Arabidopsis thaliana: one gene and its partners. The protein of the gene in region 2 interacts with the protein of the main gene of each other region in a biochemical or structural test. Each region holds a gene or a part of one and is shown on either strand. Other genes may lie near its edges. The genes, in order: NF-YB2, CO, SPA3 and SPA2.

What was found.
Region 1: the proteins of CO (region 2) and NF-YB2 form a complex in vitro, tested with the Arabidopsis thaliana proteins (one study listed by BioGRID).
Region 3: the proteins of CO (region 2) and SPA3 form a complex in vitro, tested with the Arabidopsis thaliana proteins (one study listed by BioGRID).
Region 4: the proteins of CO (region 2) and SPA2 form a complex in vitro, tested with the Arabidopsis thaliana proteins (one study listed by BioGRID).

Annotation. Positions count from the first base shown.
Region 1 is NC_003076.8:19,306,545-19,312,162, reverse strand, and holds NF-YB2 (nuclear factor Y, subunit B2), read right to left. Parts: upstream 2,937-5,618; 5' UTR 2,750-2,936; coding exon 2,177-2,749; 3' UTR 1,891-2,176; downstream 1-1,890. Other genes in the region: NUDT2 (nudix hydrolase homolog 2), read left to right, coding at 1-249, 565-630, 734-871, 969-1,046, 1,125-1,175, 1,271-1,305, 1,378-1,486, 1,584-1,772; AT5G47635 (Pollen Ole e 1 allergen and extensin family protein), read left to right, coding at 4,314-4,515, 4,590-4,882; mtACP3 (mitochondrial acyl carrier protein 3), read right to left, coding at 5,278-5,466, 5,560-5,618. UniProt on the Arabidopsis thaliana protein: Component of the NF-Y/HAP transcription factor complex. The NF-Y complex stimulates the transcription of various genes by recognizing and binding to a CCAAT motif in promoters.
Region 2 is NC_003076.8:5,168,901-5,176,382, reverse strand, and holds CO (B-box type zinc finger protein with CCT domain-containing protein), read left to right. Parts: upstream 1-3,297; 5' UTR 3,298-3,685; coding exon 3,686-4,447; coding exon of another isoform or gene 4,448-4,588; exon of another isoform or gene 4,589-4,680; coding exon 4,681-5,040; coding exon of another isoform or gene 5,041-5,045; 3' UTR 5,046-5,334; coding exon of another isoform or gene 5,335-5,372; 3' UTR 5,373-5,479; coding exon of another isoform or gene 5,480-5,489; 3' UTR 5,490-6,221; downstream 6,222-7,482. Other genes in the region: COL1 (CONSTANS-like 1), read left to right, coding at 1-86; AT5G15843 (uncharacterized protein), read right to left, coding at 4,001-4,154, 4,472-4,588, 4,687-5,045, 5,335-5,372, 5,480-5,489; bZIP3 (basic leucine-zipper 3), read right to left, coding at 7,232-7,482. UniProt on the Arabidopsis thaliana protein: Transcription factor that acts in the long day flowering pathway and may mediate between the circadian clock and the control of flowering.
Region 3 is NC_003074.8:5,167,833-5,176,104, forward strand, and holds SPA3 (SPA1-related 3), read right to left. Parts: upstream 5,274-8,272; 5' UTR 4,649-5,273; coding exon 3,941-4,648; intron 3,843-3,940; exon of another isoform or gene 3,812-3,842; coding exon 3,654-3,811; intron 3,550-3,653; coding exon 2,589-3,549; intron 2,505-2,588; coding exon 2,358-2,504; coding exon of another isoform or gene 2,343-2,357; exon of another isoform or gene 2,240-2,342; coding exon 1,928-2,239; intron 1,844-1,927; coding exon 1,784-1,843; intron 1,687-1,783; coding exon 1,495-1,686; 3' UTR 1,263-1,494; downstream 1-1,262. Other genes in the region: AT3G15350 (Core-2/I-branching beta-1,6-N-acetylglucosaminyltransferase family protein), read left to right, coding at 99-174, 256-371, 545-1,050; AT3G15359 (uncharacterized protein), read left to right, coding at 5,761-5,949; AT3G15356 (Legume lectin family protein), read right to left, coding at 6,771-7,586. UniProt on the Arabidopsis thaliana protein: Repressor of photomorphogenesis in the light. Probably part of the COP1/SPA E3 ubiquitin-protein ligase complex.
Region 4 is NC_003075.7:6,769,154-6,779,176, forward strand, and holds SPA2 (SPA1-related 2), read left to right. Parts: upstream 1-2,451; 5' UTR 2,452-2,751; intron 2,752-3,006; 5' UTR 3,007-3,009; coding exon 3,010-4,476; intron 4,477-4,812; coding exon 4,813-4,970; intron 4,971-5,345; coding exon 5,346-6,114; intron 6,115-6,214; coding exon 6,215-6,361; intron 6,362-6,531; coding exon 6,532-6,849; intron 6,850-6,943; coding exon 6,944-7,003; intron 7,004-7,330; coding exon 7,331-7,522; 3' UTR 7,523-8,072; downstream 8,073-10,023. Other genes in the region: AT4G11100 (gelsolin protein), read left to right, coding at 1-435, 513-823; AT4G11120 (translation elongation factor Ts (EF-Ts)), read left to right, coding at 8,913-9,222, 9,311-9,483, 9,581-9,670, 9,802-9,976.

The DNA of each region.
Region 1 (5,618 bases), about 14 Mb from region 2:
AATGGCCGTCGTCTTCGTTTTCCTCCGGCTGATGGGTTCTCTGCGTTTCACAGTTGCTCCACCACGAGGAACAGATCCATGTCTGCTTCTAGTTCCTCCACAAATCCCATGTCCCGTGAGGACGCAACAACACTGCTTCCGTCTGTTCAAGACAAGTACGGTGGCGTGATGACCGAGATGACTCATCCCATGGATCCTTCTCTCTTCTCCACACTTCTCCGATCCTCTCTATCTACCTGGACTCTTCAGGTTCTCTCTTCCTTCTTCCTCTTGTTAAATTTGATCTTATTGGATTCGATCAAAATGACAAATTTTGTTATCCGAATCAAGATACTGGTACCGATTTGTTGTTACATAGAAGAATCATTGTAAAAGTTTGGGTGTTAAAAGTGTTAGTGTCACTATTCCGCTTGAAAATTGTTGTATTCTAATGCGGGCCAGAAACTCTCTTTCACTTTGCTGCAAAAAAAATTAAATTCAACTTTTCCACTACAGTAATAGACGGTGAATAGGACTATGAACCGATCTACTGTGAAATGTTTACAAACGTTTTTATGTACGCAGGGCAAAAAGGGAGTGTGGATCAAGTTGCCAAAGCAGCTTATTGGTCTTGCTGAAACTGCTGTTAAGGTCTTGTTTTGTTACCTAATGCGCAATCAGATATCTTTAAACCCCCTTTTGCTTATTGTTTGGAGAGTCTTCATATCACTTACTGGTTGTGTATTATGTGTAGGAGGGATTCTGGTTTCACCACGCGGAGAAAGACTACTTGATGCTTGTCTATTGGATTCCCAAAGAAGACGATACGCTTCCTGCCAATGCATCTCACCGTGTTGGCATAGGTGCCTTTGTCATTAACCACAACAAAGAGGTTTGATTACTGATGAGATGAGATTTTTAGTGTGTCTTTTTGGAACATCTCCAAGAATGGATCACATCTCTTTTCTTTTCTGTATTTGAATCCAAAGGTGCTGGTGGTTCAAGAGAAGACAGGGAGATTTCAAGGTCAAGGTATCTGGAAGTTCCCCACCGGAGTTGTGAATGAGGTGCTGGTTCTTATTAAAGCTCATTACATGGTTAGGTTCAGCTCTCTGATTCGCCTTTTTGTGTTTGTGTTGAGTCAGGGTGAAGACATTCATGATGGCTCAGTCAGAGAGGTGAAAGAAGAGACCGGAGTAAGGCTTCTTCATGCCTCAACTTTTCACTGTCCTCTTTACAGTTTACATGAGACCAAGAGCTAATCCCACTCTTCTGCATCGTATGTTTTCAGGTGGATACAGAATTCGACCAAATATTGGCCTTCAGGTAGCAACTCCAACTGCATAATCTTCTATATTGCAACATAACTGATTCTCGTCTGTTTTAAAATTCTGGCAGACAAACACACAAAGCGTTCTTTGGAAAGTCAGATTTGTTCTTCGTGTGCATGTTAAAGCCCCTTTCTTTGGAGATCAACGCACAGGAGTCAGAGATTGAGGCAGCTCAGGTAACAGTTTTTGCTCCTCACTTCAACGACTCTCCAGTCTCATCCACTAAAACACTCATAAACCTCTTCTCTTTCTGAAAATGGGAATTTGGTGCAGTGGATGCCTTGGGAGGAATACATAAATCAACCATTTGTACAAAATTATGAGCTATTGAGGTATATGACAGACATTTGCTCTGCTAAAACCAACGGAGACTACGAAGGCTTCACTCCTCTCCGCGTCTCTGCACCTGATCAACAAGGCAACTTGTACTACAACACCCGCGACTTACATTCGCGCAATTGACCTTCTTTCTCAACAAACAGAGCTTTCCTCACAGATTCTAACGAAGCTGGTTTCTTTGCTGCCTCTCTATGTAAGCATTTTGACACTTGAATCACTACATAACTCTCACCAAAACATAAAAGCATCCCAAATGAAAACATTTGCATTCAATACAATGGCTTTAGTTACATACAAGATTCAATGAAGCAGATTCGTTAGTGAATCCTATTGTTCAACAAGCACACTTGATCTTCTTTACACAGCCTCAAAATCTAAACCCTTAATGCACATCTGATTTTACATCACCAACACCAATGTTCGTTCTATCACATGATAGATACCTTATATGGGTCGTAAAAATAGGCATGTGTATACATGTATTTATGTATCTATATACAGAGAGAGATCCACTTCACCAATCTTTGTTAAGTCCTTGTCCTACCGGAGGCAGCTCCACCTCCACTGTCGCTACCGCCACCTGTGGCTCCATACATATGGTTCTGCTGGTGAAGAAACTGATGATGTTGGTGATACTGCATCCCACCACCACCACCGTAGAACCCACCGCCATCTCCGACAGCATCTCTCTGATGCTCTCCGACCTCACCACCAGTCTGTGGCCTCCCTAGTCCAGTCCTCTCCCCTTCGATCTCCCTAAACCTCTGCAAGTAAACTTTCAATGGCTCAACATAATCCTCAAAACCTAGAGTAGTCATAGCCCAGAGCAAATCGTCTCCGTTGATCGTCTTCCTCTTCTCCTTCTGACACTTATCAGATGCTTCTCCGGTGACGAAGCTGATGAACTCGGAGACACACTCCTGCATCGTCTCTTTGGCATCTTTAGAGATCTTGGCGTTGGCGGGCAAGGCCTTCTTCATGATCCGGCTGACGTTAGCGATCGGCAAGAACCTGTCTTGCTCTCTTGGAGACAAGGAGGACTGTCCGTTCTGGTTGTTCCCGTTTTGCCCTCCACCGGAATCCCTGTCGGAATCCCCCATTTCTGAAAATTACAAGGAATAAAAAAATAAACTTTACTCTTTTTTCAAATCATTTCCATCAATGATTCGAAATCGAATTCAATTGGTGGTTGACTTGAGTGGGAAGACTGAAGCGAGAAAATTTAGGGTTTTAGAAAGAGTAAAAAGAGCAGGTGTGAATTGTTAAGTGTCGGCTGGTATTGTACACAGTGGTGAAGGAGTCGCCGGAGCTTATATAAAGAGAGGACGCACGACTTCTGCTCACTTGACACGTGATCTTATATGAACCGTCCGTTTACTGATAAGATTCTGACAACTGGATACGTGCTCGACCGTCGGATTGGAATTGATCTTGTTTGAGAGATAGACAGCCCTTTAAGGCTTTGCCACGTGTTGTGGACAGTTAGTGGACCCGGCACACTTTTGTCACGAGCCGACGCGCATAAGAGGAGCGTGGTAAACACACAGAAGAGAGAAAGATAGCGCGTGGAAAACACGGAGAAGATAGGTGGGCGTTAGGGAGACAGAGGGTAACTGCCACTCAACGACCCTTCGGTCAATTTTTCACTTCTTTTTTTTTTTGTGTTACGAGCGAATTGGGTTGGATCATGAGGGTGTGGTCTGTGGTGGGGTTCATTGCCATCAAAACTGCATCGACCAATCAGATCAGACAGCTGTTTGGAAACAAAAAGCGTCCCAGTTTTGTCCACTTTTGACGGTCTCGATCTTCTCCTGTGGGTCCAACCATTGTCGCTTTTCTAAGCGTGTGATTAGTTAACATTAACAATAATCACCAGCTTCCAGCTGTATTAAGCTCTTAATGACATAGCTAATACTTGTCCCACCTGGAGAATCCTAATGGGCCGTTAAGATAATCAAACTGAATGGCCCATTAAAGGTGATGGACCTATTATCAATATCTAGGCTTCTTTTAAGCCCATACTTTTTTCAATGTAATGAGGACTTGAGAAACTGTGGTTTGGTCAAAACCCTGCTGACTCCCACCATCAACTAGATATTCTGAGCACGTAGACACGACCAAACCCACGATGTTGAAGCCGTTGTGTTCAAAGCTGAATGTGTGCGAGTATAGTTGAGGGTAGGCTTGAATCTTTTGGTTACTGCATGACTACTCTAACTGAATTGGCTTAATTAAATAAAGAAAAGGAGAAACGTCACACTAGATACAAAAACGTTGCACCAAATATTATTATTAAAATAATACTTATACAAGGAGTGAAAGAGTAGGCGAACCACTCAGTAATTGCTTCCAAGTGCCGTATCTCTCTTTCTCTTTCGCTCTCGGTTCATTGTTTCATTTGGAAGATTCAGCTCTAAATTTGACCCTAACAAGTCAGCCACGATTTTTAATATATTTAGAAAAGATACAACTGAAAAGAAAAAGGCTACTACAAGGTATAAAGAGAGACACTGCCGTACAGAGCTGTGTGACCTGAAGCCACCACGCAAAGGGTCTCTTCCTCTTCTTTAGCTTCCTTCTTCTTCTCTATATATTCATGCTATTTTCATTTCTTTAACAAAATACAAAGAAAAACAAACAAACCTCTTTTCTTTGTTTTTAACGATGGGAAGCTTCTTCATCATCCGTTGCTTCTTGTTACTCTCTTTCTTCTTGTTCACCGGAGCATTTGGGAATAATTTATGGACCAGAACGGAAATGGTGGAGATGGCTGGCTACGGTGAACAGAAACTCTCCTCTGTCGTGATCACCGGATCTCTTCTCTGCGACACTTCACGTCCTCACCTTCACTCCATCCCTATCCCAGGTATTTGTTTCTCTACCTTTTTTCTTCATGTTTCTTGTCTTCCGTCCGAATATATACTAACATGATCCTCGCAGGTGCCACCGTTGCCATCAAGTGCCACACTGGATCCAAAAGGAGGTCCAAATGGATTAAGGCTGTTACTGATGAATTGGGAGAGTTTGAAATCGATCTTCCCTCCCAACTCCATGCGATTCCACACCTTGAAAACACTTGTTTCATCAAGCCAGTATATGTGCCTAGGCCCTATAGATGCTATAACACCTCTACCAATATACACAAACCTATCAAACTTGTTTCCTCTACCAATGGTTTCCGTGTCTACACCTCAGGGAAAATCAGGTTACAGGGCCACAGTTCGAGATCATAGCAAGCTCGTTGAGACAACATTTCAACCAAAAGATTTGAACACAAACAGCTGATTCTTCAAGTTCCTTCATGTGAAAAGCATTTTTTTTGTTATGGTCCTCGTTTGCTTAGCTGGCGCTCCAGTCACAGAACCGAGTTAGAGTCTCTCTACATTGTGTTTCATGTTCCCAAAGTGTAAGAACAAACAACTGTAAGCATCATGTATATAAAGGCTCCCATGTTTTTGGTACAAAAGTAGTGTGATCACATTAGAATATATATCATATAAAATGTTTAGCAGCAAAAACCCAAATGATCATATTGGCTGAAGCAAAGACACACTGACACAGAGCATGTCTCTAAACTTGCATTAACTAAACATTGAAAACAAGAGAGACAGAAAGGCAGAGATACAACTCAGGACTCAGACGCTTTGGTAGGAGTTTCAGAGAGTATGTATGTTGCAACATCACCACAACAAGTAAGCTTATCAGCTTTCTCATCAGGGATCTCAATCGAGAACTCTTCTTCAATAGCCATAACTAGCTCCGTCTTGTCCAAGCTGTCCAACGACAAATCTTTCTGAAAATCAGCCCTTTCAGTAACCTGCAAGTAAACAAGCCCCGTGTTACAAAACAACCATTCACCAAAATAAAAGGTTATACACAAAGAAAAAGCAGCAGTTTTGTAATCCCTAACCTCAGAGGTGTTGGTTTTGTCGTATTTCTTCACCAGTTCAATAACCCTGCTCAATATTT
Region 2 (7,482 bases):
AGAAAGATGTCGATGAAGAGGCAAACCAAGCTTTCTCCACAATGATAACATTTGACACCGGATATGGAATTGTTCCATCATTCTGATGCTGCTATGGCAAAACTAGACTGCATGCTTGTAAATTACTTCTGGTTTGAAATTCCTGCAAGTTATTACCACGGTTTTATGCATATAGGGTCTGTAGTTTACTAGTTTTGCCTAACTAGTACGAGTTAATTAGATATACACTCATACTTAGCTGCTGTAAGTTAATACAAATTTTGCCCACTTGGTAGAAGTCCTCTTATCTATGAAATACTGCCCTACAGTCTAAATTCAAACTGATGCTACAAAGAGATATGCATTAGTATAGCTAGCTGTACCAAGAACAGTCAACACGTAACTCACCTTGCCTAAGTTCAAAGTTAATGATTCCTTTCTTGGTGACACTTTCCACATCACTTTATCACGTAGAAGATAAATGATTCCACTTATGCCGCCCCAAAGACAATTTCGCACATCCCTGAGAAAAGAAAGTTGTACTCAATATGATTTTATACCAAAAGTAGATTACAGAGACAAGTGTAAACATGTAAAACTCCAATAAAATCACACACTGAATAGTCAGGTAACAAATAACCAAGAATCCTGAGTGAACAATGCTAATAGGTACAATTACATCAACGCATATTCTTGTACTGATTAGTGATTAGCATTGGTGCTAAATCCATTCCCACGAGGTTGTCTCGGATAACAAGATTCTATCACTCACAACCACTACTAGCAGAATATGTCAATGCCTATGGACCATCCAAATGAACAAAGATATTCAGTGTGAGAAATCTATTTCTTGGTCTATCTTTTAGAATAATAGCTCACTTTTTCCAAGGTATATACTGGCACTAAAGAATAACGACGCAACCAAAAGAAAAAGGGTGACACTGTAAAGCCTTCACTTTTTGCCACCTGGAAAGGGCCAGAGATCAACTTATTTACCACTAGGATAGCTTCCCACTTCAACGGTTAAGCTGATGAATTCATGTACCAAATCAATACTTTTTAGCCATAAATGAGTCAGTTTTAGTATCCACATGAATTTACCTACCAGAGTGTTGTAAATTATGTTCTTTTGGGGCCACTTACATGGATCTCATTCATTCACTGCAGCGAGTTCTCAGACCACCAGAAAATTTATTCAGTGATCTGTTTTGATCATGCAACATAAACTTATAAGCCACACAAGCAAAACAAAGATATCCCATGTTGCATATAATACGAGCTAGCATATCATAAAGAAGGAAACTTGAAGTAGCAAAGTTTCTACTAAATTTCTTGTCAGGAATTTTTAAAATGCAATGACAACCACTTGGAGCACTATGAGTTTCAGAGCCAATAGAATGTTACTATTTGGTGTGGATTCGAGCTAGCACGTGAAAGTGCATAAAAGTGATTACCTTTTGCCAAAGGTCACTGCACTTTTCCTCAGATAGTTTCTCACAGCCATGGAAAGTGGAGAATCCGCATAAACGTACAATTACAAGCTTTATATGGTCCCTCGACTCTTATTCTCTTCTCAGTCTTTGCAACTAAATAGGGTTTTCGTTAATCTGAAAGAAGCAAAGTATTCGAAACCACGGAAACCTGATAAAGAATGAAAACAAATAAGCAATAGTGTTTTCTTGAAAATCTCGATGCAACTTTGAGGATATTGTTACATATGATCTATTACTCGTAACAGTTATCCGAAGGCCTACACATGTGAGAGAAGTTCCAAACCGCTACAACAATAAACTTAATTAGAGACTGTCAACGAGCAATAATAAGCAAAACTACTTTTTTCTTGAGCTACAAGTGAAAAGGCCAATACACAATTTACTCTTCATGAACTCGAACCACGTTACAATCTCCAAAAAATTTCATCACCAAAGCACTAAAAGCCAAAGATGCCTCAACTTATCCAACTTGGCAGGATAAAGATCTCCAAAAATGCTTACTAAAGAACCTAGAATCTTTTCTTTAGAATTCAATGATCATATAACCATTTCATAACAATTCTAAATGCCATTACATTCATCGTAAAACCAGTAAATAACAAGAACTTGTATGTTAAGTTCCAATTACCAAGCAAAAAAAAACTTTTCAAAGTTTAAAGTTCAAAATGGGAAAGAGAAGTGCGGTGTAAGCAAATATGAAAGAGGAAGAGATGCGAAAAGTGTATCCTAGGACCAGCATTTTATACAAAAAAAAAACACTCACTTTTCAGCTCTTAAGGCATAGAGTGAAGGTAGCCATATGAATTTGGCCACTAGAGCGTCCGTCAAATCTCATTCTTTTTGGACCACATAATGGGTATCATACATTCACTGGACCCAAAAGCGTAACTGGAGCTAGTCCTCAAACCTAGAGAGTATCGTATCCTGTAGCTTCCACATAGTAAACATTATGAGCATAACACCAACAAGGCAACTCCAAGTACTAATGGTTATTAGTACAGGAAAACCCACGATGCTAAACACATGAATGGGTCACCAAATAGAGTGAAGATGGTTAAATTGCATCTATGGATCATGTGGACTAGTAAATGAGTGTAGCAGAAAACTTCACAATTACCTCTGTGATCTTAGAAACATGTCCTGAAAATTCCATACAAGTGTCGTTTGTATTAGATTACTTCCACAGGTTGAGATCTAATAAAGCTACAATAAATAGTATAGAGTATCATCATAAACCCAAATTACAGAGATGTGACAACACTCATGAGTCATGTTTTGTAACTACTTACTATAATGGTTACCAAGTGCAAATTTCTACATACTATATATGATAAATCTAATTATTGCTCATGTGGACTCCAAAATGCCTTTTAAGTTTTAACTTGTGCGTCAGGTAAATTCTAATTTGTAGTCTCAAGACTACTTGGCGGATTCGAGTTTGATCCTAGAAAATCCACCGTCTCTATGTTTTTCATGTCACTTTTCCGATATGATTCTCATTACCATGACTTTATGAACCAGATTAAACATTATAACACTTTTCATCAGAAAATCCTTCGAAAGTTTCAATTGCAAATCTTTCTAAATGATGCAGATGCATTCACAAATAATGGAACAACAACTATACCATATTCACGAGTTTGTCTAACCTTTGTATAGGTAGTCAACCCATAACAGTTGGTGATGGCTCTGACACTCGAAGCCTTACTCGGAGAGATACCTGAACAGTAATCACAAGGTTCAGGATGAATATTCAACCACTTAAACTTTGTATAAAGCCAAAGAGATAAAACGAATCTAGCTTTACTTTAAATAAAATGCATATGAAAATAGTAAAAGGTGATACGAAAAAATAGTAACAATTTGCCTGCAACACCATGGCATTATCCGGACCACTTCCTCTTGAGAATCTCAGTATGGCAAGTGGCAAAACCTAAGCAACTTGTGAACGGGTCCCAACGAAGAAGTGCATAGGAGGAGATGTTTACACTTTACACTTTACACTTTACACTTTACACATAGGCCTTCCCAAAAGCTCAACTAGCTGCAAGAGGATCCAATAACATGTAAGAGCCACTAACGCTGTGCCACGTGTAGGCACTCAGGATTCGATCTCCCCTCTACTTATTCTCTCACACCAGATATAAGCTTTATTAGCCCCTTCTTTCAGATACCAGCTCCCACACCATCAAACTTACTACATCTGAGTTATTATGTTGAAACAAGAGAGTAACGACATAGGTAGTGGAGAGAACAACAGGGCACGACCCTGTGACACATGCCGGTCAAACGCCTGCACCGTGTATTGCCATGCAGATTCTGCCTACTTGTGCATGAGCTGTGATGCTCAAGTTCACTCTGCCAATCGCGTTGCTTCCCGCCATAAACGTGTCCGGGTCTGCGAGTCATGTGAGCGTGCTCCGGCTGCTTTTTTGTGTGAGGCAGATGATGCCTCTCTATGCACAGCCTGTGATTCAGAGGTTCATTCTGCAAACCCACTTGCTAGACGCCATCAGCGAGTTCCAATTCTACCAATTTCTGGAAACTCTTTCAGCTCCATGACCACTACTCACCACCAAAGCGAGAAAACAATGACCGATCCAGAGAAGAGACTGGTGGTGGATCAAGAGGAAGGTGAAGAAGGTGATAAGGATGCCAAGGAGGTTGCTTCGTGGCTGTTCCCTAATTCAGACAAAAATAACAATAACCAAAACAATGGGTTATTGTTTAGTGATGAGTATCTAAACCTTGTGGATTACAACTCGAGTATGGACTACAAATTCACAGGTGAATACAGTCAACACCAACAAAACTGCAGCGTACCACAGACGAGCTACGGGGGAGATAGAGTTGTTCCGCTTAAACTTGAAGAATCAAGGGGCCACCAGTGCCATAACCAACAGAATTTTCAGTTCAATATCAAATATGGCTCCTCAGGGACTCACTACAACGACAATGGTTCCATTAACCATAACGTAAGGCTTTTGTATATTTGTTACCCCTTCAATTTAGCATCTTCCCATAACGCAGCAGGGTGAATTCTTTCATCATACACACAAATCCACTGATCCACTGCCAACAGTTGATCTATAGCACATAGAAATTTCACCAGAAGTCTATAATAAAAACAATATATGCTTCCTTTTGCATCGACTCTCTTTAGTCCTCTTACCAGGGGGATTGAGAATGTCTTTGTTTCTGTCATTAGGCATACATTTCATCCATGGAAACTGGTGTTGTGCCGGAGTCAACAGCATGTGTCACAACAGCTTCACACCCAAGAACGCCCAAAGGGACAGTAGAGCAACAACCTGACCCTGCAAGCCAGATGATAACAGTAACACAACTCAGTCCAATGGACAGAGAAGCCAGGGTCCTGAGATACAGAGAGAAGAGGAAGACAAGGAAATTTGAGAAGACAATAAGGTATGCTTCGAGGAAGGCATATGCAGAGATAAGACCGCGGGTCAATGGCCGGTTCGCAAAGAGAGAAATCGAAGCCGAGGAGCAAGGGTTCAACACGATGCTAATGTACAACACAGGATATGGGATTGTTCCTTCATTCTGATACTCCTGTGGCAAAAAGAAAAACTAGATTGCAAGCTGTAAATTACTTTTAGTTTGAGATTATGTTAGGTTTGGTGAAATTCTTAGCTTCAAGAAGTATTACTACTGTTGTGCAAATGGGTTTGTAGTTTTGGCTAATTAAAACTATAGTATTCTTCTTTCTCTGCATTAGTTAAACAAAACCAGTCTAATTGGTACAGATCCCCATTTGTGAAATATGGATCATCAAGAAGTGAAAACGCAGATTTCACCTTGCTAACTACTAAGAGGGAAGCCAAGGTTCAAAGCCAATAACTTCCCGATAACCTGAACATGTGACACTTTCACGCCTCCCTGACAACAAAAAGATTCTACAATTCAAGTTGATAACACAGACTCCTCAGCTGTAAATCACAACTTCTTACTAAAATGAGTCATATCACGTTCCTAATTGTAGAAACCATCAGCCATATATGTTCTCGGCTTCAAGAACTGTAAGAAGAAATAAGTAATAACAACCAAGTGTATAGCTTATACTATGTGTTAATGTTAAGTGATGGATTCGAGACCTCACGTGAAAAGTTCATAAAGTGATATAAGGATGCTGCACTTTGCACTTTTTTGCACTTTTCCAAAAATCTAAGGATAGTTCAGATCGATTCTCAAAGCCATCAAATTTTAAAACCATTCCCAAACTTTACATGGTCCCTGGGCCTTCATAGATTCTCACTCTTTTAACTTCTTGCTTACAAAAAAAAAACCATTCTCCTTAATCTGAAGTAGGAAAAAGTCTGCAACTACAGCATGAGTTTGACAGAAAAATTATAACACTCTGCTTTCTAAGGTTCTTATCTTGCTTCAATGACCATATACTAAAATAGCAATTTCCTCCACATAATCCACAAAAAACTTTGGTGTCATGTGAAGAAGGCCTGAGAGTAGTTCCTAACTAACCAATAACCATTACAAAGGAAATCCACAGACTGACTAAGAAGAAGTAAAGACAGAACAAATGAAAAATGCCAAAACAGAACAACACAAGCACAGCTATATCTGAACACGCCTTAAAACACCATTTAATATATAATCATCTCTATACTTACCAGAGAGTCAGAAACCAGTATAAACCCTAACATTTATACAAATCGGAATCAGTCACCATCAAAATATAAACCCTAACATTCATTCAAACTGATTTTCGATAAAGAAACTTACTTTCAACCCGTCACAATAGATTTGGGATGATTTTGGATAAATTTGAGGAAAAATATGCGAAATTCAATAGATTGAATATGCAAGGGTTTAAGGATGTGAAATTCAATAGATTGAAAAAACACAATTTTTTGCTCAATTAGATCCAAATTCATCCCAGATCGATTTTGTCTGACGAGCTGAGATTAAAGGAGTTTACCAGAAAACCCCAAATCGGGATTGTGAAGTGAAAAGCCCTAAATTTTGAGCGACGATCGATCATCAAACTTCGAAATATTCAACAATGACGCACGCAACTGGTCTTGTCTAATACTAACGGGCTGGGCCAAAGGATCTGATATAAGGCCCAATTATTCTTGCGCGATAAACTTCTGTTTCAGGGGACGGCCCAAGTAGTCTTCCGAACTAAGCTTATCTTCTTTCAGGAAGTTTCCTTTTTTGTTGTTGCATGATCATTTTCTATCTTTATCTTATCAAAAGATAATAATCTTATCATTCACGATGAGTTATTCTAAGCATTTCGACAACGAACTTCATAATTGCACAACGGATAGTTTTAAGTAAATGAATGATATTTTTAATCATCTCATTGATTTCAGAAAGATCCTCCTCGAACTATCCTCACTGAGAATGCAGAATAATTAACAAGATCCGCGGCCTTTTGAATAATTTACTTTTCTTCAAGTATATCAAACTTGGCTTCTCTATTGGGTGAAGAGGGTTTGGTGGTAGTTGTTTGTCTTCTTTTTATTTCTCTACGTATAATTATTATAAAATTATACTCTTCTTTTCCAAATTTATGTATATAATTATAAATCTTTGTTTACAGCATCATCTTCAAATATCCATCATTTAATTATCTTCTGACAAAACAACAGAAAAACAAATAAAACCCAAACTTTGGTACGTAGTTAAACGGTTTAAAAAGTGATACCAAAGAAAGAAAATAGATAAGATTAGAGGCAGAAACTTGAAGTAATGTTTTTCTCGATCAGAACAACTCATGATGGATGATGAGTTCTTGGATCATCTGTGATAGAAGAAAAGTCTTGATCCAATTCATCCATAGACGACGGAGAAGAATATTTGTCATGTATGCCTCCTCCAAGCTTCTTCATGGATGTGATAACCTGACGAAGCTCCAAGTTTTCTTCTTTAAGACTCGAGTTCTCTTGAATAACAAGATCATTGTTGTCGGAGACTTGGTTAAGCTTATCTAAAAGCTGGTGGTTCTCGCTTCGAAGCCAAGCAA
Region 3 (8,272 bases), on a different chromosome or scaffold from region 2:
AAAGCTTTGATCTCACTTTCTTATTAGTTTTGCATCAAGATATTTCTTCAGTCTTGTCTTTGATTAACTTACTGTCAATAATCTCTGTGTGTTTGAAGATCTGCTTCATACGTTTTCAACATTGGACCGGAACCTCAACTTTATCGAACACACAAGTCAACTGGGATGGAAAGAGTGAGCATATTCACGTTCTTGAGTTTCCTATTTGGTTTAGTCTTATGTTCTAGTGGACTGAGTTGTTGTTTCCTTGTGAAGGGAGAAGCGAGCACAGCCATTAATGATTGATCCTGGACTCTACTTGTTGAACAAATCTGATATTTACTGGGTCACACCTCGCCGAAGTTTGCCAACTGCCTTTAAGTTATTCACTGGTCAGTCATCTAATCCCTCTAAACTGCATTTGAATGTACATTGGATCAAAACTTCTTCTCACCATTCAAATCTTGAAGCATTATTCTCGGTGCTGTTGTATATCTATAAGACCAAAACTCTAGTCATATGCATCAAAGCTTGAAATATTTTTTCGTTACTGTTGTTGTCACAGGATCAGCTTGGATGGCTCTATCACGCCCGTTTGTAGAGTATTGCATATGGGGATGGGACAATTTACCACGAACTCTCCTAATGTATTACACCAACTTCGTTTCATCGCCCGAAGGTTACTTCCAGACCGTGATTTGCAACGTGCCTGAGTTTGCAAAAACTGCAGTAAACCATGACCTACACTACATTTCCTGGGACAATCCGCCGCAGCAGCACCCACACGTGTTGTCACTCAACGACACAATGCCGATGATATGGAGCGGTGCTGCGTTTGCTAGGAAATTCAGAAGAGATGATGAAGTACTTAATAAGATCGATAAGGAATTACTTAAACGGAGGAATGATAAAGATAGTTTTACTCCTGGTGGATGGTGCAGTGGGAAACCAAAATGCTCCAGGGTCGGTAATGTGGCTAAGATTGTTCCTAGCTTTGGAGCTCAGAGGCTTCAAGGACTTGTGACCAGGTTAGTCAACGAAGCTAATACAGGAGTTAGTCAGTGTAAATAGAAAGAATTCGAAGAAAAAAAGAACCATTATCGAAGTAATGGAGAGCGACTGTCATGATATATATATTTATACAACATATAGAGAATCTTGCAGTTGCAGGCTTTAGATAAGACTATTAGACATTGTTTGCATTGAGTAGAGATGCCTTGTAATGCCACGACCTACTGGGATTCATTTTTGTTTGTTTGAAGTCATCTCCTTCAAAATCCAATAAAATTATAACCTTTTTTTATTGAGATGTTTTCAGTTATAACAGAATATACAAATACAAAGATCCAATATTTGTATCCTCTCTTCTTTTTTTTTTCTCAATAGAAATTCTATACACAATGTTTCCACTTTCCTATCTTTTTTTTTTTTTGGTAAAAATGGTTTACCCTATATCAATCACTCCAGCAGAGCATATCTCTTGCGGAGAAGAAGAACAAGAGATCTATGAGAGGCTCAAGTCATCATCTCCAGAATTTTTATGTTGCCATTGGAGTTAGCAGCGACTAACGTAGACGACTGTCCTCGCCAGCAGATTGAAGATATGAACTGTGATGCATCGTCCACTTCGAGACCAGACATAGAGTCAGTGTTGTTGAACATGTACGACATCACTGGCATTGGGAATGCCTTGTGGTACACGAAAACCTGTAATAGATTCACAACAACAAGAAGCTCAGATAATCAAGTTTTTAGGAGACAATCTGTCAGAAAGTTCATTTTTCTTTCTGTATCAAGCCTTTACCTCGTTAGTCTCTGAGCCTGTTGCTATATACCCATCAGAGACCGATAAGCCAACAAAGTTCTGCAACACATCACAAGAACATTACATCTCAGAAACCGGAGACCGAAGAGAGTCTTGAAAGCATATTTCAGGGTAAAATGTTACCTTTAAATTAGTGTGTCCAGTGAATGAGTGAAGAGGGGATTCATTAATCCCAGAAGCAGACATCGACAAGTCCCAAAGCTTCAGTGTGTTATCAGTAGAAGAGGACACAAGAGTGGATGAATCTACAAACTTGACATAACTCACTGTCTTGCTATGACCAATCATTGTGCACAGAGGAATCTTGGGGTTTCGAAGATCGTAGTAATACACTTTATGATCTGCAGAACCAAATGCTAGAGACCGTCCGGAGTCTGATGGAAACTGGACACAGCATACATTGGCCTTTGTCTTGATGGTCCCAATGCTAACTCCCTGAAAACATTTCCAAGAAAAACAAACTCTTAATCATACATTCTGAGAATGAAGATGTTTGCATTATTGTAGAAATCAGTTTCAGTTTTCAATAGCCGACATTTCAAATTAGAATTGCCTGATTGATACTCCAGAGCTTAACGGTTCCATCATCGCTTCCGCTAGCCAGCAAAGTCGGGTCTGCTGATGAAATATCGATGGACCATACTCGCTTCTTGTGCTCCTTCATCTCTGTAACCAACTGGCTTCTTGCAACATCCCATATCTGAAAACAAAAACATATGTATCCCAAATTGGTTTTATGAAACTGGAAGTTTTTAATAACGCTAGAGCTGAATGTAAAACTAACCTGAACAACACCATCAAAGTTACTTGATGCAATTTGGCTCTTTATGTAGCTGTTCCAACATAAACTACTTAGCTTTGACCGACCAGCCAATTCCACCACCGGATAGTGAATATCCCGGTTATCGTTTACTATGGAGTTACATTCGAATATCTTGATTTTCTTGTTGACTCCCGCAGTGGCGAATAATTCTCCTTCTCGGTCAAACGCAAGAGCGCAAACGAGGTTAGAAGAGTTCAACAAATCTCCTTGTTTCAAATCAGCTTTCACTCTTAGCTGACTGAATGATAAATATCTGCACAAACCCTCAAGGAAAGGATCTATCCACCCCCCTTGTCTCGAGTCATTATTGAAGAAAGCTTTGGGTGCCACCGGGTTGCTTACTGAACTTTTCTCTGAGACAATCATAGAACCTCTTCCATTTTCACTACTTAACGGCGAATGTCTAGTTAATGATTTCCCTGAAGCAGCAGCCTTCATTTGCCTGCGCCTTGTCAGAAAGTAGACCGATTCTAGTTTCTTGAAGTTTCTCATCAACCGGGAGCTTTCAAGAAGTGTGCTTCCTTGACTCTCTTCATCAACTTCAACACCGTTTTCCAATGCCAGAATCCCTTGTCTAACCCGTTTTCTTGAGGCCAAGAATGCTGATGGCTCCTCGTTTGCCTGGAAACTCATCAATGGCTGACCAGAGGTATATTGATGATCATCTTTACTGAAATCAGAGAGTGAGCTTCCCCTTTTCTTCAAAATTAACTGTCTCTTTACAACTTGCTCAATGTCAGAAGAAAGAAGTGAAACAGTATCCTGCAATCTATACGCAGATTCTTGCTTCCTCTGTTGAATCAGTAACAAGAACTCGAGTAACGACTCCTGTTCCTCGATTCTGTCCCGAAGCTCGATTGCTGCTTCACGTTCTTCCAAATTATCTCTAGGTTCAGTTATAAACTCGCTTTGCAGCAAGTCACTGCACCATAAAAGACAAATTCCCCATTAGTTCCATGTAGTAAAAGATGACAGAGACTAACAATGCTCAACCTAAGAACATGAAGTATAAGACAATATGTAAACCTCATTGATGGTCGACAAGTTGGCTCAGGATGCAGTAACCACAAGCAGAAAGAAGCTTCTTTTGGACATTTGAGCAATATCTGAGGCGGAAGAACGCGATGTCTAAGACTAGACATAGTTCTAGACTTCTCTTCTCTTGAAGGTACAGGGCAAAATAGCTGCAAAGGGACTAACTTTCATCTCATCACCTTTTCAAGAAAATAAACACGCAAAACAAAAACAGAAACTTTGAATCCAAAAGCAGTTACTAATTTGTTAGAAACAATGTTTCTTTCTTTATCACAAACCTCGAAAAGAAGAACGCCAAGGCGGTAAACATCTGAAGCACAAGTACTTGAAGAACCAAAATCCTCTTCAGGGCTTGTGTACCAACTTGTCTCCATTGCTAATATATGTTTCATCGGAAAAGGTTGGGTTTTTTCTTCCTCTAGTTTCTCGATTTTTCTCTCCAACAACTTATTGTAGACTCCTTTCTCTTCTATTGCAATAGCTTTCGATACAGCTTCCTCTCTTCTCGAGCTACCGATTTCCTTCTGGCTAATTGGACCATCCTCCAAGGAATCAGAGCCAGAGTCCGAACAAGAAGCAGATTCAATGAACGAAACATGGTTAAACGAAGACATGACAAAACATGATGGCCTGACATTATGAACAACAATGCCTTGAGAGTGAGCCGCATTCACAATCTCAACAATTTGTCTGAAAACGTGCAAGCACTCGAAAACATCAACAGATCGTTCAGGTTTATCCAGCCACTGTCTCAAACTAACATCACCCCATTCCAAGGATCTAACAAAAGGATCAATCCCTAAAGAATCATCTTCACCAGACTTGTGTGTGCTAGTACTACCAAACAAGCTTCTGACATACTCATCAACATGAGAGGAAGGCTTGGAACGAGTAGTGAGTCTCTCAACAGGTAAGAACTCAGTGTTCCTATCTGAAACACCAGAGGTATTGAATCCCCTAGAGTTAGAATTTGAAGAACCTTCCATTTAACATCCACCAAAAGCTAACCAGAAACCAACACGTAACCAATGACTTCTCTGTATTCCCAACTCTAACTGGAATCATTTCGGATTCAACAGCTCATTGCTTAAAGATCGTTACACATTCGCCAAGAACTTAGACTCTCACAATGTAAAGCCCCTTTTTTAAGTGATCCCACTCAAGAAACAAACCCTAGGCTATAAACAGAAGAAAACTCAAGAACCTAGGAGACCCATTTAAGAACAACAACACTCAAAAGATAAAAATATATACAAGAAAAAATGCAAATCTTTTGATCATGTAAAGAGCCAAAAAAAAGAAAGGAAGCTTCTTTACCGCAAAATTAGTGAGAGGGAGAAGATAAGAAGTATCTAAAGGAGAGAGGCCACCCAGAAATAATCTTTACGAGATTGAAACAGAGCCACACAACAAACAAACACCAAACACAGTTTTAAACTCGGAAAAAAAAGCAGAAGAAGGCTCTCTCTCTCAGCCTCATAAATTCTCGGCCTTTTAGAATAAAAACAAAAAAACGACTGCTGAAAGAAACGATTCACTGTCGAAATCGTTCTTTAATATATTTATATAATATATCTCTCAGTTCAGTTTTTTTTTCAATATTGATAATCACCCACCCTCTCTTTACACGCAAGCAACGTGGTTAATCTTCGACCTCACAAATAACAGAACGTAAAAGGAATGACCTTTTTTTGTGCCAAATGTATAAATTTAGACAAACATTGAGGGTCAAATCTTCAAACTTTTGCTCTGGAATTAAGAAACATTTTTTTTTGTTTTAGGCTCCTTTATTTCTTCCCAACAGAACAGCAACTAATTCTGGGTACATAATTGAGGTTCTTATGAAAACAAAAACAAAAATAAAGACCAGATCCTTTTAAGAGGAGTGAATCACTAAAGTTCAAAGCATGTAGTCCTCTCTTGAGTCTCCTATAAACCCAATTAACAAATGCAAAAGCAAAACAATAAGGCATATTTAAAACTAAATAAAGATTTGGCTCCGGTTACCAGTCTCTGAGACAATACCTAAACTGGATTGGACCGGTTTAGGTTTAGCTGTTCTTGGCGCTGTTTCTCGAACGACCAACTCAAATGTGCCATGATACTAGCAAAACCGGTGGACCGTGGACATGTTTTCAAGAAAAAACTTAAGAGCGATCTCCATAACAAAACTAAATGTCAGACCAACATGTCTCCAATGCGATCATATTTGACAGCTAAGATGTTGGGTTTTGAGAATGCCATTGTCGGTTTTGTTGAGACTATCCAGGCATGGTTTCGAAGTTAAATTTGAGAGAAGAATTGGTGTCAAAAAGCAAGATTACAGAGTTTTGTGAATCGTCATTTCGTCACTGTAAGACATCGAGTTTGAAATTGTTTTACGGCAGAACAATTATTTCATTCGAAGCGTCATTTCAATAACGCCAAGTGGGTGCGTTACAAACGCCACCAGAGTCTCCAACAAAATTGACCTATCTAGTGTGTTTATCTATCCGATTGGGGATAAAAAAACGATATTCTTGATTATTGAAGTCGAATAATAATCGATTCTACTACTTGTAATTCGTGTCCCCTATCTTAAATGAAACATTTGTTTAATTCATATTTCGTGTATAAATCTAAGACATTCCACGTTTATAATCTTCTGCATGGGAAGATATATTTTATATTTTATTCCGTGAAGAAAACAAACAAAGCTAAATTATCCTCCGTTTATTTAAATATAAACCGTTTTCATTGCGTGGATGCAATAATTTGCTCCTTTTATTTTATCATCTTCAATCGATAGAAACATGTATGTATCCAACTATCCATGACAAATACAATAAGACGACGTCTAGAGCTACTGATGTTGTATAGAGCTTAATACAATCTCCTACCTTGCAAATCATGCAAATCCAGTTACTAAAAAAAAAGAATTTGGAAAGGAAGTTTATTTTATTGAAAACCTCTGAATTATTCAGACTGATTACACAAATATGAAAATACAATGCAGAGTAAGCCACAGGTCGGCTTATTTTATTCATACCTTAATTATTCACTCTACAACAATTACAAAAACAAAGCAAACGATACCTAGCCAAACTGAACCGAACCGAACCGGTTTACTTAGTTTTCAAACGACCAGCTCCAAACATCGTGACGCTCACCGGCACGTCCCATGGAACCAGCAAAACCAGCGTACATGTTTTGAAGAAGAACATCATTGAGTACTCTCGAACCTTGGATCAAAGGCCTCTTCGGTTTCTTAACGTTTTCAGGGGCGATGGTAATGGTATTCCTAGAGTCTTTGCTTCTGAACTCGATCCAAGCCTTGAACCTCTCTCCACTGCTAAGATTCACATCTTTAAACGACCAAACTTTTCTTTTTCCGACTAATGTCTGAACCCAATAACCAGCTTTCTCAGCGACAAGAGAAGTCATCGAGTTGATGTTGATTCCGACATGGTTACCACTAATGTCATTAGACTCATTGTTCTTAAACGTGTCGAATTCGATAAATATGAGGTTGTTTTCTGACTTTCCATCGTTGGTTTTGTTGAGGATTCCGAGATATCCTCCGCCGGAAGCGCCGGAGTTATCAGCGGCTGGGACAATGACGAAGGCAAGGCCTTGACCAGAATTAGGTTTGGTGCGAGGAGTGATGGAGAAAGTGAAAGAAGTTTTAAAATCAAAAGGAGAAGAAGTGTTTGAAGATTTGAATTGGATTGGATTGATGTAAAGACCCTGACCATGAGAGAATGGGGTTTCGTCTCGGGTCATGGAAAGAGCTCCGGATCGGCTTACGCCATCAGAGGAAGGACCAAGCTCAGCGTCTCCAAGGAATAACAAGTTGCTGCCATCGAAGGAATCGAAGTTGAATTTGACGGCAAAAGCTGCATTAGCTAAGAACAGAGCAAGAAAACAGAGTTTGTGAATCTGCATTGTGTTTCTTTTGTTGTTGTTTGTGATTCAAGTGTGGAGAAGATTGATGATGAAAATATTTGGAGGTTGATAATATGTTTATATAAGAGTTAACATAAGCCATCGAGCTTGAATATTCAAAATCTATGATTCGAAAAAGTGGTCAAATAAACAATGCCAAGTGGATGCGTTGGAGACGCCACCACAAGGGGCTTAGCAGTGAAATGGACCCACCCAGATGTCTTTCAATGAACAAAATCTTATCCTTTTGAAAAAATATTATAATGGATTCGAGTAATAATAATTGGTTGATTATATTATGTGTTTCTTGTCCCCTTCTCTACGAAACATTGTGAATTTTAATGTCTCGTGTACAAAAAAACACATTGACAAGCTTAGTTGATATCACGAACTCGTTTTTGGATGCAAAAAAGTTACTCTGTTTTATGACTTTATCATCTCAAATTATTAAATAGGTATATTTTTAAATACCAAATAAATAAAATTTACATTTTCTTGTGCTACGATACGACGGCGGGAACGATCGCACCTTTCAATGGTATGATTAGTGGGCCGGGCCTTTTATAGCCCAAATACCTAGCCCATAACTCAACTCGGGGGTTTAATGTAATTTATATTGTTAATAAACTTCGTCCCTCTCATTGCGTCACCGAGATTCTCACCGGACCTCTGCTTATTAAATCTTC
Region 4 (10,023 bases), on a different chromosome or scaffold from region 2:
CTTATGAGGCTATTAAGTTGCATCATGAGAACAAAGCTAAGGAGCTTGAAGTGAGTAACAAACGCTTGCTTGAGGAATGTATGAAAGAGAGAAGGGAGAAGGCTAAGGTTAGGAAGACTTTTGAGGAGATGAAGAAGACAATGGAGAGTGAGAGAACTGCTATTGTTGATGAGTTGAAGTCGAAGAATCAGGAGCTTTTGTTGGGGAAGAAGAAAGAGGAAGAAGAGTTAGTGAAGATGGAGAATAAGTATGTTGAGTTAGCTGAGAAGTTTGATGTTGTTGAAAAGGAATGTGCTTACTTGAAGTCACTCTATGATGCGGAAGTAGTAGCTTCGGTTACTCAAAGTGCTGTAATCTCAGGGGTTGGAGAGACTGATAATCTTATTGGTCAAGGAGAGAACGAGGCTAATCAGAATGTGAACAATGCTGTGACAGGTATACATAGACATCTCTGTACCCAAGTGTTGTTTAGTTTACAATGACATTTCTTTTGAATCTATCTTTGTGTGCAGATGCGATAATGATAAGTGATGATGAAAATGATAATAATCCACCTATTGAGAGTAACATAAGCTCTCATCGGTCTGGTGATAGAAACCAAGAAGAAGAAGGCAGGAACAGAGGAAACTCAGCGACTGAGAACCGAGCTTCGGGAGAAACCTTTACTCCGGTATCTGCTAATCATCCACCGCCTTTTTCTCCTTCATCGTCATCTTCATCATCATCATCTTCAGACGGCGCTGAGATTGTGCTTAAGCTGCCTCGTAATTGGCCTGAATGGGCAATCCCGAAAGGTCCCGGGAAGGATTCCAACAAGCCTTAGAACATTTCAGATGCAACAGAGAGCCAAAAGAAGTAAATTTGAAGCTGCACTCTTAAGTTAAGCTAGTTATGGAAATCTTCTTACATATTGCTTTCTGTTTTTGTCAGGAGTTTATTTAACAATCTCTGGAACTACAACAAACTATTCTATCTACTATCAAATCAATTATTCATTCATGAGTATAATAATAGCTGAAACTTTCTGTGTTACAACAATTTCACCATAACTAAAATTGCATTTGCATTTGAATACTGCAAACGCAAATTGGCTTTGTATACGCATCTTGTTTATATATGGATTAGTTTTTTCTACATAATTAATGAAAGCTTTTGTAAACTAACTCTTGAGTACTAACTAATAAGAAAGTTCCGTGGCAAAATAATTTCCGAATCATCGGATAATCATCCATTTACGAGGTTAAGTTCCGGGAACTGCTGGTGTTAAGGTTCTGGAAGATCTCCGGAAGATTGGCATTAGTGAGTTTGATTCTCTTGCTGATCTGTTGTTTGCCATGCCATGAATATGTGCAACAGCTCTTCTCTGTGTAGTGTTCATCACACATGCTTCAAACTAAGCTTATGCAGCTCCTTCTCGACTAGCTTGTCGCTTGAGTTGTCTATGCCGCGGTATAGAGGTTTAAAGTCGTCATAAACCTGAATCTGACCCTTGAAATCAGCATTAGACAGTCCTTAAACTTTTAGAGCCAGCAAATATGAAAGACAATCCTGAAAAATGGATAATCATAAGACCACAAAAGTCTTTTGAAACCATTTAAGATCAGGAGCCAGTACACTATCCGTCTATCAGAATCTGGCAATAAATATTATCAGAAGCTTATTGATTATGAAGTTAATACATCTTAAATAGAATCAGTTAAGCGTTTTTTGTAAATCTAAATCACATGTGAAATTTCTTTATGTCACGTTTTCATTTGTGTAAAACAATATCTTTTGATTTATTAAGCAAATAATTTGCAGCTAAAGCTCTCAAGATTCAAATAAATTGAAATGTAAGTAGTGTAAGTAGTGATTTCTTATAGAAATAGTTGAAATCTAAAAGTATTAGGACACTGATGTAAGTATTGTTAAACTAAAGAGATCTATCAGGAAATCAAATCACTATAGTTTTTTTTTTTTTTTTAAATTCCTTGAGTTTATCAAACAAAAAAATGTAAATGTCCCTAGCAAGTACTGTAGGTTCATTTTTTTTGTTTCAAAAGAGTATGTTATTTCTTAAAAATCGCCAAAGATAGATAAGATTCGAAATTTGCATAAATGTGGCAATAAATATTATCAGAATCTTTTTATTGAATAATGAAGTTAATACACCTTAAATAGAGAATTAAGCGTTATTTAGATCTAAAACCACATGTGAAATTTCTTTATGTCACGTTTTTGTTTGTGTAAAACGATCTCTTTGAGTTAATTTGCAACTGAAAGCTCTCAGCATTTTACATTAATTGCAATATAAATAGTGATTTCTCATAGAATTAGTTCAAATCTTAAACTATTAGGACAGTTACGTAAACATTGTTAAACTAAAGGGACCAATATGGAAACACAAATCACTGTAGTTAATTTTTATTATTATCTTGAGTTTATCGTCTATCGTGTTCGAATTCTCTGTCGCTTACTTAAACACAGTCAAATTCATTTTCTGCCTTAGAAAAGATTTTTATCGAAAATCGACGTTTTTGAAAAAACTCAAATTATCGTCGTTTTGTTCTCAGATTTCTTCTGCTCTCTTCTTCTTCTCCTTCTTCTTCGTTCCACCGCCTCTGTTGCTTTATCTTCTTCTTCCTTCCTTCGATTGTTGATTACGTCGGTGGATCTTTGTTCTCCTCTGTGTTGTTTTCATTGCTAGATTTCGTCAATGATTGGCTTCTCACGATTCGATTTTTCCGGCTCCTGTTCTTAATTTCCTCTGAGGTAGATTAGTAAAACTCTTTGTCTCGTAAACATTGTTCGATGATGAAATTAGAAAGTTCTCACTCTTGTTTGCCAAATTTGGGATATTTCTGGAATTGAAAATGAATCGTCATTTTTTTCAATTTCTGAGGATTTTGTTACAATTGTTTTTTATTTATGTTAGAATTGAGATTGTGTGATGAATATCAGTAACCCTAGACAATTGTGAAATCAAAGCTATGAAAATCTTTTGATGCTATGTTTCCTATGATACAGAGAATGATGGATGAGGGATCAGTAGGGGATGTGAGTAGGATTGATGAAGCTGATGTTGCTCACCTTCAATTCAAGAATAGTGAGCAGTCGTTTAAACCGGAGAACATTGAAGTCCGGGAAGTAAAAGAAGTGCAGGTTCAGAGAGAAGCTGGTTCTCCTGATTGTTCTTATGGTGTAATAGCAGATTTTTTAGATGGTAAGAATGGTGGTGACCATGTGGAGCTTATAGGGAATGAACCATGTTCTAGCCGGCAGAATACAAATGATGAGGGGGATGTTGTCGAGGAGTTGACTGTTAAAACTTGTGAGGGATCGAGTATGGCTATAGTTGGTAGACCAAGTAGTAGAGCTAGATTAGAGATGAATCGCAGTCAGTTTCTGCATCGTTTTCCGCTAGACGGTGATTTACCGGGTAGTAGTTCTATGAGTAAGAAGGTAATTGACAGGGGAACAGTAAGTATCTTGAGAAATGCTGGGAAAATGTCTTTGCCTGAGACTTCAAATGGACAACTGGCTATTATTGCTGTTAATGGAGAAGCTAATGAACATTTGACAAATGTTGAACGAAATCCTGTACCTGTAGAGGCATTGTCTCATGAAGGCATCAAGACAAAGATGTTATCGCAGTCTGGGTTTTCTCAGTTTTTTGTTAGAAAAACATTGAAAGGGAAGGGAGTTACTTTCAGAGGCCCGCCAAACAATAGATCTAAAGCGAGGAATATGGATCAGCAAACTGTAGCTAGTTCTGGTAGCGCTTTAGTAATAGCTAATACTTCAGCAAAGATTTCTAGCAGCATCCCTTTGGCGGCTTATGATGGTTTGCCGTGCTTACCTTCCAATACCAGTAAACCATCTTCTTGTGCTAATCCTTCAGATACACATAGAGGTTGTGGAGGTGAAGGTTTAAGTCTGAGAGAATGGTTGAAGTCGGAGCGGCAGGAAGTTAATAAAGCAGAATGTATGTATATCTTTAGGCAGATCGTGGATCATGTGGACTGTTCTCATTCTCAAGGAGTTGTTTTATGTGACCTGCGACCATCTTCATTCAAAATTTTCAAGGAAAATGCAGTAAAGTATGTGGTTTCAGGTTCTCAACGAGAGTCTTTTGACAGCAACATGAACAAAGAGACTTTAAGTCAACTCGAAAACCCTCTGGTTAGAAGACGGTTAGGAGATACTTCTAGTCTCTCTATCCCTGCAAAGAAGCAGAAATCAAGTGGACCAAGCTCTAGACAGTGGCCTATGTTTCAACGAGCTGGTGGCGTCAATATCCAAACTGAAAATAATGATGGCGCGATACAGGAGTTTCATTTCAGATCTAGTCAACCTCATTGTAGTACAGTTGCCTGCCCTTTTACTTCAGTGAGTGAGCAGTTGGAAGAGAAATGGTATGCGAGCCCTGAGGAGCTCAGGGGTGACATGCGTTCAGCCTCTTCAAACATCTATAGTTTGGGTATTCTTCTTTATGAGGTATGCCATCTTAATTGTAGCTTTTGACCTGCAATTGTAAGTATGTACATCCATGAGTTGAAATGTGAATCTGCAAGCCCTTAATGTTGACACACATATATATGTTTTCCCGTGGGATTATGTCTTTAACTGGGACATATCGTGTGTGGGTCATGTTTGGGTCCAGATAGATTTAGATAGTGTAGCATGTTTGTTAATGAGATGGTAACAGTGAAGTTTCTCGTTGAAAGTACAGTTGGCTGCATGGCTCATAGGTTTATGTATATATTGATTCGACTGTTTCTTGGTCAAAACATAACATTTTCATTGATATACTAATTTGTTTTTTTCCGTCAGTTGCTGAGCCAATTTCAGTGTGAAAGAGCTCGTGAGGCTGCAATGTCTGATATCCGACACCGCATTCTTCCTCCCAAATTTCTGTCGGAGAATCCAAAGGAAGCTGGGTTTTGTCTTTGGTTACTTCATCCAGAATCTTCATGCCGACCATCAACCAGGCAATGCAAAATCTTTAGCTACTATAATTCTCAAATGATATAAAGCGTGTTATTGAACTTTTGTATGCTTGTTTCTGTTGATAGTTTAAGGCCATGAATCCCTAGTGGGTCTATTGGAAGATAATCTTGTTGTATATCTAGAAATGTACATATGCACCAAATGTGGAAGTTTTGTTCTCCTGGCTGTAAACGGGAGGACGATTGTCTCGTCAACAGTTTCACATAGGATTGTTAGGTTCTACTCTGAAAAATAATTAGTCTTTGTACTAACTGAGCTCCCTTTATGTGTTGATAGTCTCCTTCCTGTCATAATTTATCTGTCAAGAATGTGAGTTGGCTTAATCTCTAAATAAGTTTGATGTTGTTCTGTATTAGGGACATCTTACAATCTGAAGTAGTTAATGGAATCCCGGATTTGTATGCTGAAGGCTTATCTTTATCCATTGAACAAGAGGACACAGAGTCTGAACTCTTGCAGCATTTCCTTTTCTTGTCCCAAGAGAAAAGGCAGAAGCATGCTGGAAATTTGATGGAAGAAATTGCGTCCGTAGAAGCAGATATCGAGGAAATTGTCAAGAGACGTTGTGCCATAGGGCCTCCGTCCCTGGAAGAAGCTTCTAGCTCATCTCCTGCTTCTAGTGTACCTGAAATGAGACTGATCAGGAACATTAATCAGCTTGAAAGCGCTTATTTCGCTGCAAGGATAGACGCACATCTCCCTGAAGCACGTTATAGGTTACGCCCAGATAGAGATCTGCTAAGAAATAGTGATAATACTGTAGCAGAAGTAGAAAACAGTGAGACTTGGAGCTCAGATGATCGTGTTGGAGCGTTCTTTGATGGGTTATGCAAATATGCTCGATATAGTAAGTTTGAAACTCGGGGTGTGCTGAGGACCAGTGAGTTGAACAACACTTCAAATGTGATTTGTTCTCTGGGTTTTGATCGGGACGAGGATTATTTTGCCACAGCTGGTGTGTCGAAAAAAATTAAGATATATGAGTTCAATTCCCTTTTCAACGAATCTGTTGACATTCATTATCCAGCCATAGAAATGCCAAATAGATCAAAGCTTAGCGGCGTTTGCTGGAACAACTACATTAGGAACTACCTAGCTTCCTCTGATTATGATGGTATTGTCAAGGTATTTGAACCTTTGAAGTTTTACGTAGATTGTTTATCACTTGATTACCCCTTTATTTCCTTCGGTCTAATGAATACAAACGTATTTATGATGAATCCAGTTATGGGATGTGACAACAGGACAGGCCATTTCACATTTCATAGAGCATGAGAAGAGGGCTTGGTCTGTTGACTTCTCTGAAGCTTGTCCGACAAAATTAGCCAGTGGAAGCGATGATTGTTCTGTGAAGCTATGGAACATCAATGAGGCATGCTCTTCTATACTGGATTTTGTCGTTTTAATAGCTACTCCTACTGAGATATCTGGCATATATACATATGAATATATCAATAGCACTTTGGATTATTCTGTCAATGTTGTCATGCTCGTATTTTCAGCCTTGTAGCTAATAGACAATCTTCTTGTTTGACTGTGCAGAGGAACTGCTTAGGAACAATCAGGAACATTGCAAACGTTTGTTGTGTGCAATTTTCTCCACAGTCCTCTCACTTGCTAGCCTTTGGATCATCAGACTTCAGAACCTACTGCTATGATCTAAGGAATTTAAGAACTCCTTGGTGCATACTGTCAGGACACAACAAAGCAGTTAGCTATGCGAAGTTCTTGGATAATGAAACTCTTGTAACAGCATCAACTGATAACACGTTAAAGCTTTGGGATCTTAAGAAAACCACTCACGGTGGCCTCTCAACAAATGCTTGCAGCTTAACTTTTGGCGGCCATACAAATGAGAAGGTAGCTAATGCTGAAACGTAATTTTGAGTTAATCTATATAATGATGTTTCTCTTTTTCCTTCGTGGTTGATTTGTCTTTTCCTGCCTTTTTCAGAACTTTGTTGGTTTGTCTACTTCTGATGGATATATAGCTTGTGGCTCTGAGACAAATGAGGTATGCCCCTACAAACCTGGGAACTCTTTGATATTCCTATAACTTTGTGTATGGAATCTCCTTTTCTATAATCCTTTAACAAGCATTGCCACAGATTGATAGTTTGATTCTCAACTTAACTAGAAGCTCCAGAGTTTATTTCATGTGATGGAAAAAATCACAGTTCCATGTGAATTCCGTCTATTTATACGCGATGGAGGAACTTATCCATTGATACTAACAATTAGTAAAATAACTGGCGTAGGGTCAAAAAAGAACTAATCTGGTAGTATTGTTGTTTAAGTGATCTCTCTGATTGAGAAATATGCTGTTTCTTGTTTTGTTCAGGTTTATGCCTATCACCGGTCTCTTCCCATGCCAATTACCTCGTACAAGTTTGGTTCTATTGATCCAATATCAGGTAAGGAGATAGAGGAGGACAACAACCTGTTCGTTTCAAGCGTTTGCTGGAGAAAAAGATCGAATATGGTTGTTTCAGCTAGCTCAAATGGGTCAATCAAAGTTCTACAGTTGGTCTGAAATAAATACATACATACAGAAGAAGCTGAGGTAATTCTACACCTAGAGCCCTCTTGGTTTATGGTAAAACAAAAACCCCATCAATCCAAGAATCAGGCAAAACAACGGAGATAACGAACAAGCTTTCAACACACAGATATGAGATAGTTTTATCTATCTGTTGCTAAAGTTTTCCTCAAATGGGGTGAAGGAATGAGAGTGAGTAGAACTATAGTTGTTCAATAGTTGCGGTTTGATCAGCGCGGTAAGGGTTTATACCGCTGATGGGTATACATAGTAAGGTAAAAGACCTTCTCTTTTGTGGTGTTCTAAGGTGTTTATTTTTTTATTTTTTATTTTGGCTCTTACAATAAGATTCCTCTTTGTGATATGTAAATTTGCTCCGATAGTTCTAAGGTAAAAGAGCATACTCTGATGTATATATAGTTGAAATGAGCTTTTTAGTTCTACGGATGAATCTCCTCCACCAAGAAAAGAAAAATCTTCGTTTTTCTTTTTAAAAACTTTAAATGCATCGTTTTTTGTTGAATGTTCACAAAAGTAATCTTTGAAATGCTTTATCATTGTACATAGCTTAGGACTGAATCAGCGTAATAACGTTATCAAGGTTTCTTGCTCAATCAAGCTGCTCCAACTTGTTTATGGTCTTCTTCACTTGGTACTGAAAACTTTTTTACTTTCTGAGACAAACAACAACAGAAGATGAATCAAGGCCTTGCTCAATCTAAGATCAAGCTGTCTTACATCTATGAGAAAGACTTAAGAATCACAAAGAAGAATTCATAGTGAACTAGTGAAGCATGCCATATGGAAAAACAATTGTTCAAAAACTCCAATTGAGGAAATGTTGGAAAAAGAAAAGAACAAACCTTAGATAGAACACATTCTCAGAGAGATTGCAGTAGAATTAGACATTTCTCTTGATCGAATTTCGATTCCGAAACACAATTGAGAAGATTCACAGCTTCTTGTCGTCAAATTGGTAGGGGAAGCTTTTTCTCCATTATCATAAACCCTAAACTAAAAGTTTCTGCAAAAACAACTATTTTATCGAACTCTTAATGGGCCATCAATGGGCCCATACTTATAAACTTAAACCCTTTTCCAATTTCAGTCGTATTTTACAAAAACCATCACCGTCGTTATCACAGTAACCAAACAACTTTCATCGCCGGGTAAGCTCCATTCCCAAGCTATTTCGATCTCGTTTCACGTCGATCTATTTCTAGTCAAGTTAATCTCTTCTTTTAGGGTTTAATTAGTTAAGACTTGCGTTTGATTATCTCAAGTTCAGAATTTGTTTCTTGATGATCTAAAGGAAGGAATTTTATACTTATCAAATTGAGGATTTTTGTTTTTGGATGCAGAGAACTGATTAACATATAAGAAAATGGCGTTTGCTAGAGCAGTGAGAAGACCAATTGGAGTCTTTTATTATAGTGTTAGTAGTAGATTTAGTTCTGGAAATGAGTATTCTACTGTGGCAAGCAAATTCGAAACTTTGTCTCAGTACAAAAGCTCTGTACCGTCTGGTTACACAAGCCTTGTTCGTGGTTTTGGGAATTTCATACGGAGTTTTAGTTCGGAAGCTCCTCCTGCTGTATCTGACCAAATGAGTCTTATTAAGCAACTTAGGGAAAGAACTAGTGCTCCTATTAAAGATGTTAAGGCTTCTTTAGTTGAATGCAATTGGGATCTTGGTAAGAATTTGGTTTAGGTTTTTTGTTTTGGTGAAGGTTGTGTATGTTTTGTTGTGTTTTGAAGTGGGTTTTTTTGGATTTGACACAGAGGCTGCTCAGAAGGATTTGAGAAAGAGAGGGAAAGTTTTGGCTTCGAAAAAGTCGTCACGGACTGCTGCAGAAGGAATGCTTGCCGTTGCTCAAAATGAAGGGAAAGTTGCTGTTATTGAACTTAACTGTGAGACTGATTTTGTTGCTAGGAATGAGATTTTCCAGTACTTGGTTAGTCCCATAGCAATTTCACATTGGTTGTTGCTGAATGATGGGCTTTTTGTTTATTTTACTGTTCCTTGTCTTCTAAAATTGACATGTCTTGCAGGCTTTAGCTATGGCAAAACATGCTTTGCTGGTTGAGAGTAGTTCGCAGCAAGTTTCTGGTGTCTTCCCCTTTGGGCCGGAGCTTTTTGAGGTCAGTTTTTTATGTACTCGCTTGTTTCCTTTTTTGTTATTTAAATTTATGGATTTATGTTGTTTCCTTTGCACTGTCTGAGATATTGATATCAACTTTTCATTTCTAATCACTCTAATGGATGCTATCAGGAGTTCAAGCTTAACCTCGATCATCCAAAAGTTAATGGTGAAACAACGGTTTCAAACGCTGTTACAGAAGTAGCTGCAATCATGGGAGAGAATGTAAAATTTAGGAGAGGTTTCTTGATGTCAAAATCTTCAGCAGGCGTCCTTTCTGCATATCTTCACACAAGTCCTCAACCAGGTACAATTTGTTCAATATACTTCCCATTGTTTCTAATCTCTTTTTTT